3 linked regions of the Saccharomyces cerevisiae S288C genome follow. The gene in region 1 interacts genetically with each later gene. Each region holds a gene or a part of one and is shown on either strand. Other genes may lie near its edges.

Region 1 (10,208 bases):
GCAACTGTCATATGTATACATCGATGACGTGCGTACGGTAAAAATTTGTACTCGCCAGATAGACCTCTCATAATGAATTGGCATGCTACCTTGTTATTGATAGGAATGCCATTGTTGTTTAGTCTGTCAAGAATGTTTGTGACTTCTGCTTCAAATGCATCTGCAGGTGTACTTCCATTATAATGCAAAGTTGCTAGGGTCGTAATGTCATTTACCTCTTGAGTATCAGACTGCATTTTGTTAATGCTTTTGGAAAGAATTTTCATGATATCTGTATAATCAACAGATAAGATGTCTTTAACCCAGGGGGGTAAGAATTGAGATGGAGCAAATAGTTGAAAGGTGTGACATAAGAAGGTGAGTTCGTCATCAGTCATCTGACGTACGGCTTTTCTTGTTGCTGTCGGAATAATATCACCGAGATTCGAATTTTGTAAAAATTTGATGTATATTTTAACCCAATTTAGAAAGTCATTAGGTGAGGTTAAGATTGGCGGTGGTCTGACATGTTGATTAGTGGATGTCATATTAGACTTTGCTGAGGATGAATCAGGAAATGAATTACCTGACTCAGGTGACGGGGTGTTCAAATGTGTTCCAACATATTGTGGATATTGTGTAAACTGTGATTGTGCCCCAGGTGGAGCGTACATAGGTGACATTTGATAAGGTGGATACGGCATCAAGGATGGGTGCCCGTATACTGGCCAGCCAGAAATATTGGCTTGTTGGGTATTCATCATGCGCTGCTGTGGGTACGGCCCATTTTGTGGCAATGGTACTTGAGCAGCTTGAGGAGAGGCATGATGATGGTTCTCTGGAACAGCAGATGAGGGAGGTGTTGTTGGCTGTTGAGAATTAGCCTGAGTGGAAACCTTCTCACATTCTTCTGTTTTGGAAGCTGAAATGTCTAACGGATCTTGAGTTGTTTGGACTTCTTTAGAAGTAACCGAAGCACAGGCGCTACCATGAAAAATCGGGGAATGTTGAGATAATTGTTGGGATTCCATTGTTGATAAAGGCTATAATATTAGGTATACAGAATATACACTAGAAGTTCTCCTCAAGGATATAGGAATCCTCAAAATGGAATCTATATTTCTACATACTAATATTACGATTATTCCTCATTCCGTTTTATATGTTTCATTATCCTATTACATTATCAATCCTTGCACTTCAGCTTCCTCTAACTTCGATGACAGCTTCTCATAACTTATGTCATCATCTTAACACCGTATATGATAATATATTGATAATATAACTATTAGTTGATAGACGATAGTGGATTTTTATTCCAACAATTCCACTGTTGTTAGAGACTATAATATTAGATATACAGATAATACTAGAAGTCATACCCAAAGATATAGAAATCTACAAAAGGGAATCGGTGTTTCTACACAATATCATTTTATCGATGTTGAACTTCTAACATTTTCCTATATGCGCAATGTCTTTCCCTTATGAACACGCACAGGCCAAAAACTTACCAGAAATTCTTCTGTATTACAAAAAAAAAGAAATGAATTTATCAAAGTAACGCAACGGCAGCAGAATAGAGAAAGCGTAGTGACCGATGTCAGACGCGAAGGAGTCGCAGATTCTCAAACTAAGGAAAATCCAGCCTCTATGGGTGAATAGCTCATCCAATCGATCCAAGAAAAATTGTTGAGGCTATAATTACATATAATATCTACTGAACAGCTGCATTCCAGGACCTTTTTGAACAGCGCGCCCAAAATTAATGAAGAAATCGTTGATCTTATGTGAAGACCGAACAGAAAGGACAGACTAAAGTTTCGCCCAATTAGCTTACGAACATATAATGACGAGGACGCCACATTCCTCAGTATGAGTAGGGGGTCAATTAAATTCTTGAGTTATAAGTGTCCCATTTACTATGGTTATGCTCTGCTTCCCTATTTTCTTTGCGTTTTCATAAGAAGGGATATGAAGTATTGTCATTCCACAGAGTATGATATAAATCAGTCAGGTCACCACTGCTGACAAACTCCTCTAAAGTACCCAAGTTGTATATATTATTCTCATTAGCGCTTATTTGGCTAGGCGCAGAATGTTGTCTTTTTGTCTGTTGTAACGATCGATCTTGATGCCGCAGATTACATGGAACATTTTCTGATGCGTCTTGAGTGTACGATTCCTCTCCAGAGTTCAACAAAGACGATAACTTCAACGGTGAGTTTGCTGCTGAGGCAGAAGCATTGTTGTATGAAGGAGCAGTACTGTCATACAACTGAGAAATTTGGCTTGAATTTCCTTGGTCTGGAATATTACCAGTGGCCAATTTGTCTCTATACAAAAATTTATAGTCGCTTTCTAACATTTTTCTAATTATTAAATGAAAGCCTGATTTTTCAACGGATTTCAACATGTACCTGTAAATAAAAGAGCGGGTATCAAAAAACTCACGCAAAAGGTCACTTAGACCCGGTTCAACTTCTTTCAAACGTTCGATGAATTCGGCTCTATCAATTTGTTCGGCATAGCAGTATTTTAAAAATATGATTCTTATGGATATGGCAACCAAACTCGAACTTCTCGAAAACTCCCTGAAAGTTTGACAATCATAATCCTTCTCGTCCAAATTATTATTAAAAAAAGAAATAATGTTAGTTATTCTCTTAAAAACTTTCAAAGTGTTGATAACATCCTCTAAAGTGATGTGCGGGTCTTCCACATAAAATTTTGAAGCCATCACGAAAAATATCAGTTCATAAAAGTCCAAACATGCCCAAACAATAAAATCAGTATCAACCTGTATTAAGAATTGATTAATTTCCCTCCATTCTTGAAACATTTCATTCGCATATTTCATGCTTTGCTCAGTTATCACCTCTGGATCTTCAGATAGCCTAGCAATAAGATTGTTAACAGCACCCAAGATGGAGAACCATGTATTTTTATGGTAACTTACAAATTTAGCTGCTTCAATTAGATCGTTTTTTGGATATTCTGGATATTTGCAGTGAGCTACTTGAAAAACTCTTGAGGTGTGAAGCTTTATTTTGGCCAATTTTAACCTAAAAGATTCAATGTCCTCAAAAACTTTCTCCAATAACTTTTGTCTGATAATTGTGGGTTTAACGGATACTTCTAAAGACGTGAATTTCTCATTATAAAGAGTCTCTGAAAAAAAATCTCCAACAATTTGGGCTATCGCTAACTCACCATATTCAATAAGCCTGGACAATGACAAGTTTTTTAGCTTGGGCGATGACGGTGATAAAGAGGACGTACCAATTTTCGTTAAAAATTCTTTATGGTTAATGAATCCCATGTCCCTGAAATCCTTCGGCAAGAGACAATTCATTTGATGTTCATTTATTAAGGATAAATCACCAAGATCAGTTAAAAAACGCTTTTCCAGACTGTATATTTTCCACCATATTTTTCTTCTCCGTTCGGCAGTATTTTCGTCTATTCCAACATAATACTCCCAACGAGACAATCCCATCTTAGTGGAGCATGTAACCGCAACTTCTAGCATTTTTTCAAATCCAAAACGCTCATCAATTTCATTTTGGATTTCTAGCAATGACACTAAAATCTCTAGGTAATCTAAAGTGTTTATGTCCAACATGTGATATAGGGTAACATTGTAGTATGCGTAACAAAGAGTAGATAGAAGATATTCTGATGAGCAGAATGACGAGAATAAAACACTCTTTTCTTGATGGGGCAAGGAGAAAGCTTGGTTTAAAAATTCCGCAAAGCGCTTCCTATGTTGAGCATACATTTGAGTAACTATTCGAAACATCGAAAATGAATCATGTAAATTTTCTATCAATTGAGTAGTCGTAAACCCGGTAATCGATTGTATAAATGGCTGAGGTAGTTGATGAATAACAGAAATGACTAAATCGTTAGATAAAGGTGCTGGGGAAGTAGGCAAACTAGCAGATGCCGTCGTAGTAGGAGTTTGCTTTATTTTTTGAAGATAGTTCTCTAATGGATTAGAAATAGAGATGCAACCTTGGATCAAATGTTCATAACACAAATCAAACAATCTTAATATTAGATAAATAGTTTCCTTTGTATCTATTAACATCGATGAACCCGTGTTTTCGATATTTTTTTTAATTAAATATCCTATACCTCTTAGTGAAAAAGCCTGTATTGGAGAGAAAAGACCAAATACTTCATCTACTAGTGGAGTGGTGGCTAGAAATGAATCTGGACTTTGTGATTTAACCATTTGGTCTGTCCAAAAGGAGAACCTCGTCATGTGTATTTTATTTCTATACTTGTTGGTTAAAAGATACGTTTCTATCGATCTTTGTGGGCGAGGAGAGAAACTGGAAAGCTTGGGGTAGTTTATTTCGGGATTCCAACTGTTAATCAGGTTATTCAACTGCGACTTCGTTTTATCAATCAAGAGCTGAGTGTCATCACAAGGCGGCAGAGCGTACAAATTTGTCAGAATATTTTGATACGTAACCAGTTGATTTTGATATTTGGAATCATCTTTAAAGAGAATATTATTATCATTAGTAGGATTATTGGAAGTATCAGGAGCATGCGTCGCACTCGGAGAGACTGGAGTCTGTATCAGGTCGTTCATCAGTTTGAAGTAATATTGATTATCTAGCTTAATCGCAGTGTCCAGATGCTGTACATCTGCTGAAGCCTCTACATTGGCGTGGGAAGAGGGTGGAGCAACAGCTGTAGTAGGCAAAGACTGGGAACTATCCTCCTTCTGCGGTAAATGTTTTTTTAGGAATACACACGTACAATCGTAAGAAATGCAGTTGGTACATGGATATTTACCTGTGCATTTGATTTTCCTTTTTCTGCAATTGACACATGCTGTCGAAACTTTTGATCTAGTTGATTTCTTCACTTTCATTGCGGTCACGCAATAAGAAAAAATTAATAAAACTGCTGATGCAGTTGTCGCCTAAGACCTATGGTTGCTTTGGAAGGCTCCTGAAGACACAAACACAGGAAATACATAAATACATTAATGAGATTCTATAACAGTATCTACATATTTGCATTCTAAGACTCACTGTGATAGTTCATTTATTATTCCGCGGAAAGTCCGAGCGGCAGAGGAGGCAGCTCCGCGGAAACAAGGGCAGCGCCTGTTGTTCTGGAAGAAAATGAAAAGTGAAATGCAGTTGTCGTGGAAATAATGGCTTTACCTGAAAGCAGCAGAGCACGGTGTTAACAAGGAATAGCTGAGAATGAGTGGAAGTAATATGGGATACTATGACGTACTCGCAGGGCTTTCAGCGCTGGAAAAGTCATCCCAGGTAGTGTTCAGTGCGACTGAGCTTCAACAGCTTACGCAACAATCTCATGCTACCGACAAGGGCATAGAGGGCAGTGAGAATAGTAAAGCGAAGGTATCCAAGCCCAAAAGAGTAGCTGTACATGGTTACCTAGGCGGTAAAGTGTCGCTCGCCGATGCGGCACAGGTGGAGTATGAAGTAGGCCATTCACTGCTGGGCAGTTATGTGCCACGCCAGCAGTTGGAAGCCCTGTCAAGTGTCGACTTTTCGCACCATTTCCACCGCACATTAGAATGCAAAGCTGCTCTAGAGACACACGATGTTTTTCTTGCCGGCGCAGGACAATTGTCTCTACCCTTCCAATCACACATAGAGAGCCCCAGGAATAGCGAGGCTAAAAGGAAAAGAAAAGTGATAATATGCAAACGGTGTCAATCACGATTTATAGGTTCCCATAGGCGGTCTCAACTTAGAGAACATGCCTGCGTAGATTAAACCATGTAATTGATAGAGGTAGAATGTTGCTTCGTAGAAAGTGACTATACGATTCCTAAAAGGGGCTTCCTTCCACTCATGCGAAATCGAGATACATCAGACGAAAACAGAACGAATATTTAGCGCATATATACTATGTATATCTATTGCAATCCTAAAAGAAGGGATAGTGTAACATAGCCAAGGCGACAGAGTGTGTTATATACAAAAGAGCTAGAGTATGACTGTGTTTCTGGGCATCTATAGGGCCGTCTATGCCTATGAGCCGCAGACACCAGAAGAACTGGCCATCCAAGAAGACGATCTGTTGTACCTCTTACAGAAGTCAGACATTGACGATTGGTGGACAGTAAAGAAAAGAGTCATTGGTTCCGATAGCGAAGAACCGGTGGGTCTAGTGCCCTCCACTTACATTGAAGAAGCTCCTGTTTTGAAGAAGGTAAGAGCCATTTATGATTATGAACAGGTGCAAAATGCTGATGAAGAATTGACGTTTCATGAAAATGACGTTTTTGATGTATTCGATGATAAAGATGCTGATTGGCTGTTGGTTAAGTCTACCGTTTCCAATGAATTCGGCTTCATTCCAGGCAATTACGTCGAACCAGAGAATGGGTCCACTTCCAAGCAGGAACAGGCTCCCGCTGCCGCTGAAGCTCCTGCAGCTACTCCTGCAGCCGCTCCTGCTTCTGCTGCCGTACTACCCACCAACTTTTTACCACCTCCTCAACACAATGATAGAGCTCGTATGATGCAAAGTAAAGAAGACCAAGCTCCAGATGAGGATGAAGAGGGCCCTCCTCCTGCCATGCCTGCAAGACCAACGGCTACTACCGAAACTACTGATGCCACCGCTGCGGCTGTTCGATCTCGTACAAGACTATCATACAGCGATAACGATAATGACGATGAAGAGGATGATTACTATTACAACAGCAACAGCAACAACGTTGGAAATCACGAATACAATACAGAGTATCACTCTTGGAACGTTACCGAAATCGAGGGAAGGAAAAAGAAGAAGGCCAAGCTATCAATCGGTAACAACAAGATAAACTTCATACCCCAAAAGGGGACTCCTCATGAGTGGTCAATTGATAAATTGGTCTCTTATGATAACGAAAAGAAACACATGTTCTTGGAATTTGTTGATCCATATAGAAGCCTTGAATTACACACTGGTAATACCACCACATGTGAAGAGATCATGAACATTATTGGTGAATATAAAGGTGCTTCCCGTGATCCTGGGTTGAGAGAAGTCGAAATGGCTTCCAAATCCAAAAAGAGAGGTATTGTTCAATATGACTTCATGGCTGAATCACAGGACGAATTAACCATAAAATCAGGCGATAAAGTCTACATTTTAGATGATAAAAAATCTAAGGACTGGTGGATGTGCCAACTGGTTGATTCAGGGAAAAGCGGTCTCGTTCCTGCACAGTTTATTGAGCCTGTTCGTGACAAAAAACATACTGAATCTACAGCAAGCGGTATCATCAAGTCTATCAAGAAAAACTTCACCAAATCTCCATCTAGGTCGAGATCTAGATCAAGATCTAAATCCAATGCCAATGCCAGTTGGAAAGATGATGAACTACAAAACGATGTTGTAGGTAGTGCTGCCGGTAAAAGGTCAAGAAAAAGTTCATTGTCCTCTCACAAAAAAAACTCTTCGGCGACCAAAGATTTCCCCAATCCAAAAAAATCGCGTCTATGGGTTGATAGAAGTGGTACTTTCAAAGTGGATGCAGAATTCATTGGATGTGCTAAGGGGAAAATCCACTTGCACAAGGCTAATGGTGTCAAGATTGCTGTCGCCGCTGATAAACTATCCAATGAAGATTTAGCGTATGTGGAAAAAATTACTGGGTTCTCCTTAGAGAAATTTAAGGCGAATGATGGGTCTAGTTCCCGTGGCACTGATTCAAGAGACTCTGAAAGAGAAAGAAGAAGGAGATTGAAGGAGCAGGAGGAAAAAGAACGCGATAGGAGATTGAAAGAGCGTGAATTATACGAATTGAAAAAAGCCAGAGAACTCCTAGATGAAGAAAGATCAAGGTTGCAAGAAAAGGAATTGCCTCCAATAAAACCACCAAGACCAACCTCTACTACCTCCGTTCCAAATACGACGTCCGTACCACCAGCCGAAAGCAGCAATAACAACAACTCCAGTAACAAATATGATTGGTTCGAATTTTTCTTGAATTGCGGCGTTGATGTAAGCAATTGTCAAAGATATACAATAAATTTTGATAGAGAACAGCTTACTGAAGACATGATGCCTGACATCAATAACTCAATGTTAAGAACCTTGGGTCTGCGCGAAGGTGATATTGTTAGAGTAATGAAACATCTTGACAAGAAATTTGGAAGAGAAAATATTGCATCAATTCCTACAAATGCCACTGGAAATATGTTTTCACAACCTGATGGTTCATTGAACGTTGCTACAAGTCCGGAAACCTCACTGCCTCAGCAATTGTTGCCACAAACAACAAGTCCTGCTCAAACAGCTCCTTCCACATCAGCTGAGACAGATGATGCTTGGACTGTTAAACCGGCTTCTAAGTCTGAATCTAATTTACTCTCTAAGAAATCAGAATTTACTGGTTCCATGCAGGATTTATTAGACTTGCAACCTTTAGAACCTAAAAAGGCAGCTGCCTCGACACCTGAACCAAACCTAAAAGATTTGGAACCCGTGAAAACTGGCGGCACCACTGTTCCTGCTGCTCCGGTTTCATCTGCTCCGGTTTCATCTGCTCCCGCTCCATTGGATCCATTCAAAACCGGTGGCAACAATATCTTACCCTTATCTACTGGCTTTGTGATGATGCCAATGATTACTGGGGGCGATATGCTGCCTATGCAAAGAACCGGCGGCTTCGTTGTACCACAAACAACTTTTGGTATGCAATCGCAAGTTACTGGTGGTATCCTACCTGTTCAAAAGACAGGAAATGGGTTAATTCCTATCTCTAACACTGGCGGCGCAATGATGCCACAAACTACGTTCGGCGCAGCAGCTACCGTCTTACCTCTGCAAAAAACTGGAGGTGGCCTAATACCAATTGCCACCACAGGAGGTGCGCAATTCCCGCAAACTTCATTCAATGTTCAGGGGCAACAACAACTTCCAACAGGTTCAATATTACCTGTCCAAAAAACTGCTAATGGATTAATTTCAGCTAATACTGGTGTCTCAATGCCAACTGTACAAAGAACAGGCGGCACTATGATTCCACAAACATCATTTGGCGTTTCACAGCAATTAACAGGTGGTGCAATGATGACCCAACCTCAAAATACAGGGAGTGCCATGATGCCTCAAACATCCTTCAATGCTGTACCACAAATTACTGGAGGAGCAATGATGCCTCAAACGTCCTTCAATGCTTTACCACAAGTTACAGGGGGAGCAATGATGCCTTTGCAGAGAACTGGTGGTGCTTTGAATACATTTAATACTGGAGGCGCCATGATTCCCCAGACTTCGTTCAGCTCTCAAGCTCAAAACACTGGCGGGTTCCGGCCGCAATCCCAATTCGGTTTGACTTTACAAAAAACCGGAGGTATTGCGCCATTAAACCAGAACCAGTTCACTGGTGGAGCCATGAATACTTTAAGTACAGGGGGCGTTCTTCAACAACAGCAACCACAAACGATGAATACCTTCAATACTGGTGGTGTTATGCAAGAGCTCCAAATGATGACTACTTTCAATACTGGTGGTGCTATGCAACAACCACAGATGATGAACACATTCAACACCGATGGAATTATGCAACAACCACAGATGATGAACACTTTTAACACTGGGGGTGCTATGCAACAACCACAACAACAAGCATTACAGAACCAACCTACTGGATTTGGGTTTGGTAATGGACCTCAACAATCAAGGCAAGCCAACATATTCAATGCTACTGCATCAAATCCGTTTGGATTCTAGATTAATGTATTTTAAGATTTTATAGGATAATAACTAAAACAAGCTATATGAAATAGTTTCGTACAATCTGTGCTTATACTCGTGAAAATGGCAAATTTCTCTTTTTTTTTTTATAAGTAGTTATGTATGTATTTTACTAATTTTAATATAATCGTTCTCAGTCCCAATAATGTTTTATTGTCATATTATACTAAAGTTGAAATGGTGGAGTCGACCCTAAGAATTTATTTCTTCCAGACAGAGGAGGTGTGTAGTCACTTTGGTTCCACTAATAGACAACCGACATTAAAATACTTCTGATCTGTGCCTTCAGAAAGCTTCATCTGTAACCGCTTGTCTGTATGAGTCGTTTCAAATGGTAACCACTTAAACAATGCGAATACTACAATGATATTTATAAAATATAGACGTAATTATGAGGGAAAAAACTTGTCCAAAGGAAGGGGTATAAGCTTATTATTTATATAACGACCAACAACCCAGATCCTTAGTCCATTTAT
Region 2 (3,977 bases), on another chromosome or scaffold:
GAGTTAAGTATGCAAAATTTACAAAAAGTTAATGGTCAAAGTATAACTATAAAAATATAATAAAACAATAAACAATAACAACTCTCAGAATTGCAAAGCTTGACCCTTTTGCTTCTTTTCACCACCCAATTCGAAGTGCTTACATCTCTTCAAGGTTAATTGGGCTCTAGTCTTACATTTGACACATTCCAATCTCAAAACAACCTTCTTGGTAGTCTTAGCTTTCTTGTGGAAAACAGGCTTGGTTTGACCACCGAAACCAGATTGTTTACGGTCATAACGTCTCTTACCTTGAGCGAACAAGGAAGCCTTACCAGCTTTGTATTGAGTAACCTTGTGTTGAGTGTGCTTACGACAGGTCTTACCCTTACAGTAGGTCTTTCTGGTCTTTGGGACGTTAACTGGTTCAAAATGATATCACAGCAAATTTAGCATGATAGTTGATTGTTAGTAATTGATCTTAAAAAAAAAGTAATTTGACTGCACATGTAATTAGTTGTATCTTTTTTCTGTAATGGGGAAACGGCTAAATTCACAAATATCTAATGAGTATTACTAATGATATCCTCAATATATTTTCTAACCAGAGTTCTTATTAAAAGGGCCAATAAAAGTATCATTCAGGTGTTCAGTACTTTAGGAAATGATGAAAATATTTAACTAGCTCAAAAGTAAATGAAGTTTAATAACTATTAGTTTCTTGCTTGACATGGATTTGCCCTACGATTCAGGATATTTTAAAAAGTTCTTTAGCATTCTAGTAGTACCTGTGTACTAATTACACTCTCACGCCCTAATGGAGATAAATAACATGGTTTGTCTATTCCTAATCGTCCACATACCCATTATTACTGATTGTTTTTTTGCTTAATCTCCTTCAATTTACGTTAAAACAGTGAAAATACCACATCAATTAAGATATACATTGTCAACAATATGGATGTATCTCTGAGTTCATTTCGACGAATAATTTTACCTCTCTTGGTGGAAAGCCTTCCCTCCCCCTGGCGGAACCCATCATCCCGTCGAACAACTAAACCGTCAGCGTTGCCGCACCGACGGACGTCTCTCTAGAGGTCGTCTCTCCGTCTGAACATACGCACTGTTGGTACGATGCAGCGGCAGTCTGGCCGCATTTTTGACAGCGATCTTTTTTTGTATCAAGACTTCTTCCAATGTCAGGATTTATTTTCATGATGTATGGGTGTATCGGATGTTCGGATGTCACTGTCTTTTATTTTGAAGTTTGTGACAGAGAATGCTATGGAAAATAATATGTAGCAACATAGCCAACTAATTGCCATTGCATTAAATTTTGGCAGTACTATTTAAAATGCCATGTTTTATGTTGTTACAGTAAGTTATTGACATTCTTCTGGTGTTGCCCGCTTCGCTTTCTTAAAACGGTTAAATATTGAAAAAGTTTCACAAGACACGAAATCAAAAAGGATCCATTTTGGTATAAAAATAGCATATTGCATAACTTAACTAAAAAGATTAAAAAAAGTCAAAGCTACACTGGCATACTTTGAACTGTTTTTTCAAAGCTGTCTCCACGTGGAAAGTTTATTTCATCAAAACTATTATCAAAAATTGTGGTTTTGTTAATACAAAAGCTGATATATATATAATATGGCATTTAGTGATTTTGCTGCCATATGCTCAAAGACCCCGTTGCCATTATGTTCGGTAATAAAGTCTAAAACCCATCTAATACTTTCGAACTCAACAATTATACATGATTTTGATCCTTTAAATTTGAATGTCGGTGTACTGCCACGCTGTTATGCTCGGTCGATTGATCTTGCCAATACAGTCATCTTTGATGTCGGGAACGCATTCATAAATATTGGTGCTCTAGGTGTCATTTTAATCATACTTTATAACATAAGACAGAAGTATACTGCTATTGGCAGGTCTGAATATCTCTACTTTTTCCAACTAACATTGCTATTGATAATATTTACCTTGGTGGTAGACTGTGGTGTATCTCCCCCCGGCTCTGGGTCATATCCATACTTCGTGGCTATACAAATAGGACTGGCGGGTGCATGTTGCTGGGCCTTATTGATAATCGGGTTTTTAGGTTTCAATTTATGGGAAGATGGGACTACAAAGTCCATGCTGTTGGTCCGTGGAACGTCCATGCTAGGATTCATAGCCAATTTTTTAGCCTCTATTTTAACCTTCAAAGCATGGATCACCGACCATAAAGTAGCAACAATGAACGCTTCAGGGATGATTGTCGTCGTTTACATAATAAACGCCATTTTCTTATTCGTTTTCGTTATTTGTCAATTACTGGTATCCCTATTGGTAGTTCGAAACTTATGGGTCACAGGAGCTATCTTTTTGGGGCTATTTTTCTTTGTAGCAGGCCAGGTATTGGTTTATGCCTTCTCTACACAAATTTGTGAAGGGTTCAAGCACTACTTAGATGGCCTCTTTTTTGGAAGCATCTGTAATGTGTTCACATTAATGATGGTTTACAAGACTTGGGATATGACTACCGACGACGACTTGGAATTTGGTGTAAGTGTTAGCAAGGACGGTGACGTGGTGTATGATAATGGATTTATGTGAAATGCTTCTTTTTTCTATTACCATATATAGAAAATAGGTGTATACTATTAGTTTAATGTAATAAGCAGGACTATGACAAACCAAAGAGTGAAAGTAGCCGTTTCCACGTTTTAACGGCTTGTGTACACTTTGACAGTCAATCAGCGTAGTGACTTCTTTTATCAGCGGAAACAACCATATCCATAAAAGAAACGTGATGGTCGTTCCCGTAGTTTATTAAGTAAGATGACAAATTATCCTTCTTTAGTCAATTGAAAACAAAACTTCTTAATCTGTTTCCAATGTTTTAAAGTCGCTCATATGTTCATGACTACTTTTCCATGAGAGGGTTCTACGAAAAGCATCATCTTATTTTCGCAACGCTGCGGGTTTAGGCCTTTCCGCTGGTCTCTTTTCTGTTTACAGTTCTGCCCGAATGTAAACAAATACTTTGCGAAAAGTAAATAATGTATTCTGAAAAAAAAAAAGAGAACTGTGAACAATGCTTGATAGTTGTAGGAATATCTTAGAAGAAAGGGGATAGATTATCTGGAAAATCGTTTGAATAAAATAAGAACCAGTAATTCATTCGTTTAAATTGGAAAAACAAAACATAAAAGAACCAGCAATGTCTTGGTTGCCTGTTAATGTAAAAAGTTCTCCCAAAAGATGACAGGAAACTCGTTAACTCATACTCGGTATATAAGAGGAAACTTATCTAATGTTTCATTCATTCTTCCTCTTCTGCTTATTCGATGTCTATTGAAAAACTTCAAGTAAACCAGCAATATCGACTTCCATTAAGTAGACAGCGAGCCTGAAACAAAGAATATACTGTTTCAATTCCAACTAAAGCCACTCCCTCAAGCGTTATTATTTTTTGAATTATATTTTCGGGTTTTAAGCTAACTCTAGTCATTCCTTACTACATTTTATTGTAACTCTTCAGTAGAGCTAACCACAGTCATTCCTTAATATTTTTTAACACAGATCTCTTTCACAGAGTAGAAATAAAGCCACTCCTTTAACAAATTACAAAGAAATGAAATTTAATTTTTCTACAATTTTCAATATCTTATTCTTTTTATTCACCTTAATTGAAGCCAACAGCAATGGGGAAACAGTCAAACTTATTACTTCTGATGGTATTGTTTACAGTTATGCTGTCTACACAAAGACTCTTGCGCCGGCAAGGGTTGTGGTTAAAACGATTTCATATACTACTACAAGGGTATATCCGATTACTTTAGCTAATTCCGTCGTTTCTTCCACTACTGAAAAGATAACAGAGGTTTCAACGGTGTCAGCTTCAGAACAAGTTAGTGCTACTCAAACAAACTCATTGGTTTCTACTTCTACTGTTTCCACTATCAGTCCAACGATTTCATCTGGTTCTTCAACATCCTCTAGCTCTA
Region 3 (4,827 bases), on another chromosome or scaffold:
ATTTGCTTTTAAGTATGCGCCGCACTTGGCTACCACGATGGGTATCCGACCAAAACTCACCAACTCACTTTGAACAATGACCTCTGCACTGGCGACGCTCAACGATTCTGCTAAAGTAACACCGAAAACCCTACCTGTGAAACCATTTCTATTAGATAAAAACATATCTCTGTAATTTTTGAACTCTGCGTGAGGCGATGTTCCGGAATTAGCGTTGTTATTGTTATTGTTCTGTTTCGCGGATTTGGAAAAGGATTTCCTATCTTTGGTTGGGGTATTATATGAATATGGTCTTGAAGATAATGGAGGCCGTTTTAAAGTAGTTGGTTGAGCATTCCTTGAAAGAGAAGTTGGTGATCTAGGGACTGTAATATTTTCGGATGACATACTCTTAGGGTTGTTTATGAACTGCTTCCAAAAACTTGGGACATGACCTTTAGAGGGAGAAACATTTTCAATTTTGGAGCCTTGTTTAAGAGTATTATTTGGCATTATAAAGATATTTTTAGTTTATCTTAGTGGTATTGAGAGGATGAAAGTAAGACCAAAGCAGGAATCAAATTGGAAGCTCGAAAGCAAACTTGTGAAGGCTAATTTCTCTGCCCCTCTACTTTAGAAAAAAATTGCTGTGAAATGAGAACGGCTTTTTGAACACTGCAATATAACTTTCTGGAGAAAATTTGTTCTGATAACTTTGTGATGCGTGAAAGCTTAAGAGATCAAAAATATGTGGAGTTTTCAAGTCACTAGTGAATAAAACCAGTGGAATGGGTAAAAAAATTTTTTGTAACGGGCCTGCTATTCTAGGAAACCTAACGAAGACTTTATCAATTTGTTTTTCCTCTTCTGAGATCGTCCGATCAAGCCTAACAGTTTCGCGAGTAAAAAGGATGATTTCTTCTAAATTTAGTATTAAAGTAATGAATGCGTACACCCTGCTTGAAGATGTTGTGCAATGTAGCTCAGTTTCTTCCGCGCCAGGCCACTAGTCTTGCTTTTTTCCTGTTTGTCAGCACCGGTTTCCCAACTGGGCTGTGTCATCGACAAGACAGAGATGGTGTTTTATAAAAGAGAAAGGAGACTGAGGAACGTCGTTTTAGGAAGACTAGGCGAGGTGAGCGAGAAAACTGATTTCCCCATATGGTAGGCTTTGTACCATATTGGGAAGGTGGCAGCCCTATTGGGAACGCGCTCCTTCCCTTTTGGGATATTGTCAGTAGGGTAATATGCTCGCCGCATGCCCGTAATAGATAGACTCAAACGATACTTTGTTGGTGGAAGGATGAATTACCCTATATAGTATTTAAATTAAGAAACATTACAATAAAAGAAAAAGGTAATGGTAACATCTCACAATAGAAGGTAATGAATACAGAGGGATGCAGGGGCCTCCTCTAGTTCTTGTTGAGTTGCACGTAGTTCCCAGGAAACACACCTTGCTGGCCATTGTATCTTCCTGTCCACCATTCGTTCACGTCCGGAGTACGCTGGACAATTTCTATAACTGCGCCGGCAGGGAAAGACAAATCACCAGCAGCTTGAGCTTGGTAGTCATACAATGCGGTAACAGTTTCAACGCCAGGAGCTGCCGCTACGGCCGCGGCTGGTGTGCCCGCAACAGGTGATGTTAGAGGATTAGAGTAGGCCGGTGGTGGTCCCTGTTGCTGCTGTGGTGATTGTTGGAAGCCTAGCCCAGTGAGCGGTGGAGATTGCGCAGCAGCATACTGTGGATAAGTACCCGGAACAGCGCCAGCAGCAGCACCAGCAGCAGTACCAACAGCAGCAGCAGTACCAACGGCGGCAGCAGTACCATACTGGGCAGCAGGTTGAGCGGCGTAACTTGGTGCTGCGGCACCATAACCGTATCCTGTAGGGGTTGGAGAAGTGGCAGTTGCTGGATCATACCCAGCACCATATCCGACACCGCTTGATGCGCCACTGACGGGTGAGCCTTCGGCGGTTGCTACACCATACTTCCTTCTGGTCATCTCCAATTTTGCCTTAGAGTAACCGAGTTTAAAGTGTGTAATAGTCAAGGCGTCCGTTTGTTCTTCCACATTGCCTTTCTTGGCAATGTACGACTCTACAATGTCACTGTTCAAATCAAAATATGGAATCTTCATGTCTTGAAGTCTATTATACAAAGTGTAAAAAATGTTCAATTGCATGAAATAAAATGAGACAAATAATGGTTTCACAAATTCAGCTTCCAAACTGAACAGTATTGGTAATTGAGTCTTTAGCAAGTCGTTATAGTAATCATATTCTTGTTGAGCCACTTCCACTTGAGCTTGTGCTTTATACAATCTTTCTTCGTCTTTGGCGGTTGGTTCCTTCTTCTTTTCATGCTTGTTATAAGTGTTTAGATGTCTATCTAAATCTAATTTTTTGTGATTTCTCTTGGTGGCCATTTTACGAATATAAGTAATAATCTTCAACAGTTCCTGGCATGGCGTAACAATTTTTTCTTCCACCAAAGCCAGATCCGGTTTCAATGTTTCCTGTAATTCTGCGACAATTGCCCTATACTGTTCACTTGCTTCAATACCTTGTGGGTTGTCCTCTGGTATGGTAGCGTTAGGGTCACTCATTTTACCACTGATAGGTTTGAAAATTTCCTCCATGGATTTGGCAAATCCAATTTGGTGTGTCAGCATTCCATTCACCGCAGTCGAGTATCTCTTCGATTCCTCACTTAATTTTTTTGTCTCCTGCTCCAATTCTTGAAAACGACGTTCTGCATCCTCGTAAACAGGATCCTCTGTCTGCTCACCCATCTTGAACTTTTGACGGAAGGACTGAGGAGCCCTACTAACAGCCTTGGTAAACCCTTTAAAACTCATGTGCACTTATTGGCTCCTTGATTCTTGGTGTTAAATGACCAGGTGAGCCTCACTTTACTTTATTCCTTAAAACAGGTTGTTAAACATCGACACTACAAAGCCCTCTCCTTTTTTTTTTCCGGTACCAATATTATCGCAACATCCGAACATCGGTCGGATTGATAATTTAGTCAGGTAGACTACCATAGCAACTGGAAGGTATACATAACAAAATTTCCATACGAAAGGAACTTCTTGAACTATATACAACCTTATATGTGCAACTGTAGCGTGCACTTATAGTCCATGGTCAAAAAGTATCTTTTCTCAGTAGAAAACAAAAGCGTACAGGCAAGCGACAGGAAAGTCAAAACTTGATAGAGGTATGTCTACAGATGAAAGTGAAGACGTTTATTCTGATCTGTATTCCATTATCTCCCAGGTAACATCCAATACTGCCAATGACATCGAGCAACTCCCATATGCTTTAACGTTCAAAACGTCGTTAATCTTCGTTGGTGCTACCATTGGTGGGCTTTTATTCGGCTATGATACTGGTGTTATATCAGGTGTTCTGCTTTCTTTAAAGCCCGAAGATCTATCTTTGGTAGTTTTAACGGATGTTCAGAAGGAGCTGATAACTTCCAGTACAAGCGTCGGATCATTTTTTGGCTCTATTCTGGCATTTCCTTTAGCAGATAGGTATGGAAGAAGAATTACTCTCGCAATCTGCTGTTCAATTTTTATCCTAGCTGCAATTGGAATGGCTATAGCAAGAACATTGACGTTTTTGATTTGTGGGAGATTGCTGGTTGGGATCGCTGTTGGAGTGTCTGCCCAGTGCGTCCCTCTATTTCTGAGTGAAATTTCACCTTCCAGAATCAGGGGTTTTATGTTGACATTGAACATTATTGCCATCACTGGAGGTCAATTGGTTTCCTATGTGATTGCGTCCCTTATGAAAGAGATTGATAATTCATGGAGATATTTGTTCGCACTTTCTGCTATTCCAGCTATTCTGTTCCTTTCAATACTGGATTTTATCCCTGAATCGCCACGATGGTCCATTTCCAAGGGAGACATTCTATATACCAGGGATTCTCTAAGAATGCTATATCCTACTGCATCTACATATCATGTGAATAGTAAAATTAAGCAGCTGATAATTGAACTCGATAAGTTACGACTATACGAAGATGCAAGTGAACCTTTACTAGTACAGTCCCAATCGGTTATTCGATACATGGATAGTTCAACCTCAGGAACTCTTAGCCCACCTAACATTAAAAGACTTTCCTCGAACACAGAAAGAACTAGCAACACAATGTCCTCCTCATCAGCATATCTATCGGCGTTGCGAGGCCCAGCTCCAAACGGTGCCCTGGCATCTAACAAAAAGAAAAGACACAGAATGGAGCCACGCACAATAAGAGCGTTAATAGTAGGTTGCATGTTAATGTTTTTCCAGCAAATCACTGGCTTTAATGCTTTTATGTACTATGCGGCAATAATATTTTCCAAATTTAATATAAAAAACCCTCTACTGCCTCCAATTTTGATTGCCTCAACGAACTTCATATTCACTTTTTTCGCCATGTACACCATGGACTCTTTGGGAAGAAGAGCCATTCTTTTGAGAACAATTTTGATTATGACTGTTGGGTTACTTCTTTGCAGTGTAGGTTTCGGTCATGACCAAGTCAATTTACTTTTAATTTCTGTTGTAATTTATGTTGCAGCATATGCTTCTGCGATGGGCAGCGTTCCATGGACCTGTGTGGAATTTCTCCCCTTGAACAGGAGATCATTTGGGGCATCATGTATAGCCTGCACAAATTGGTTGACCAATGCATTTGTTTCAATGACATATCTGAGCACTATTAACACCATTGGTGATGAAAATACAATGCTCATTTTTGCTTTTTTCACAGTTTGTGCCTGGTTTTTCGTATATTTTTGGTATCCAGAAGTCAAAGGTTTGTCACTGGAAGAGGTTGGAAGGGTT

The links. A genetic interaction does not mean that the proteins touch.
Region 2: mutations in SLA1 (region 1) and CHS7 together harm fitness more than expected from each alone (negative genetic interaction), as found in Saccharomyces cerevisiae (6 studies listed by BioGRID, with this or other methods).
Region 3: mutations in SLA1 (region 1) and RVS167 are lethal when combined (synthetic lethality), as found in Saccharomyces cerevisiae (5 studies listed by BioGRID, with this or other methods).

What each region holds. Positions count from the first base shown.
Region 1 is NC_001134.8:212,132-222,339, reverse strand, and holds SLA1 (cytoskeletal protein-binding protein SLA1), read left to right. Parts: upstream 1-5,973; coding exon 5,974-9,708; downstream 9,709-10,208. Other genes in the region: YBL005W-A (gag protein), read right to left, coding at 1-1,010; drug-responsive transcription factor PDR3, read right to left, coding at 1,940-4,870; LDB7 (Ldb7p), read left to right, coding at 5,211-5,753; HIR1 (Hir1p), read right to left, coding at 10,165-10,208. UniProt on the Saccharomyces cerevisiae protein: Component of the PAN1 actin cytoskeleton-regulatory complex required for the internalization of endosomes during actin-coupled endocytosis. The complex links the site of endocytosis to the cell membrane-associated actin cytoskeleton.
Region 2 is NC_001140.6:381,906-385,882, forward strand, and holds CHS7 (Chs7p), read left to right. Parts: upstream 1-1,632; coding exon 1,633-2,583; downstream 2,584-3,977. Other genes in the region: 60S ribosomal protein eL42 RPL42B, read right to left, coding at 85-401, 843-846; DSE2 (Dse2p), read left to right, coding at 3,605-3,977. UniProt on the Saccharomyces cerevisiae protein: Chaperone required for the export of the chitin synthase CHS3 from the endoplasmic reticulum.
Region 3 is NC_001136.10:1,248,202-1,253,028, reverse strand, and holds RVS167 (amphiphysin), read right to left. Parts: upstream 2,844-4,827; coding exon 1,395-2,843; downstream 1-1,394. Other genes in the region: GTPase-activating protein SAC7, read right to left, coding at 1-492; CIN10 (Cin10p), read left to right, coding at 3,208-4,827. UniProt on the Saccharomyces cerevisiae protein: Component of a cytoskeletal structure that is required for the formation of endocytic vesicles at the plasma membrane level.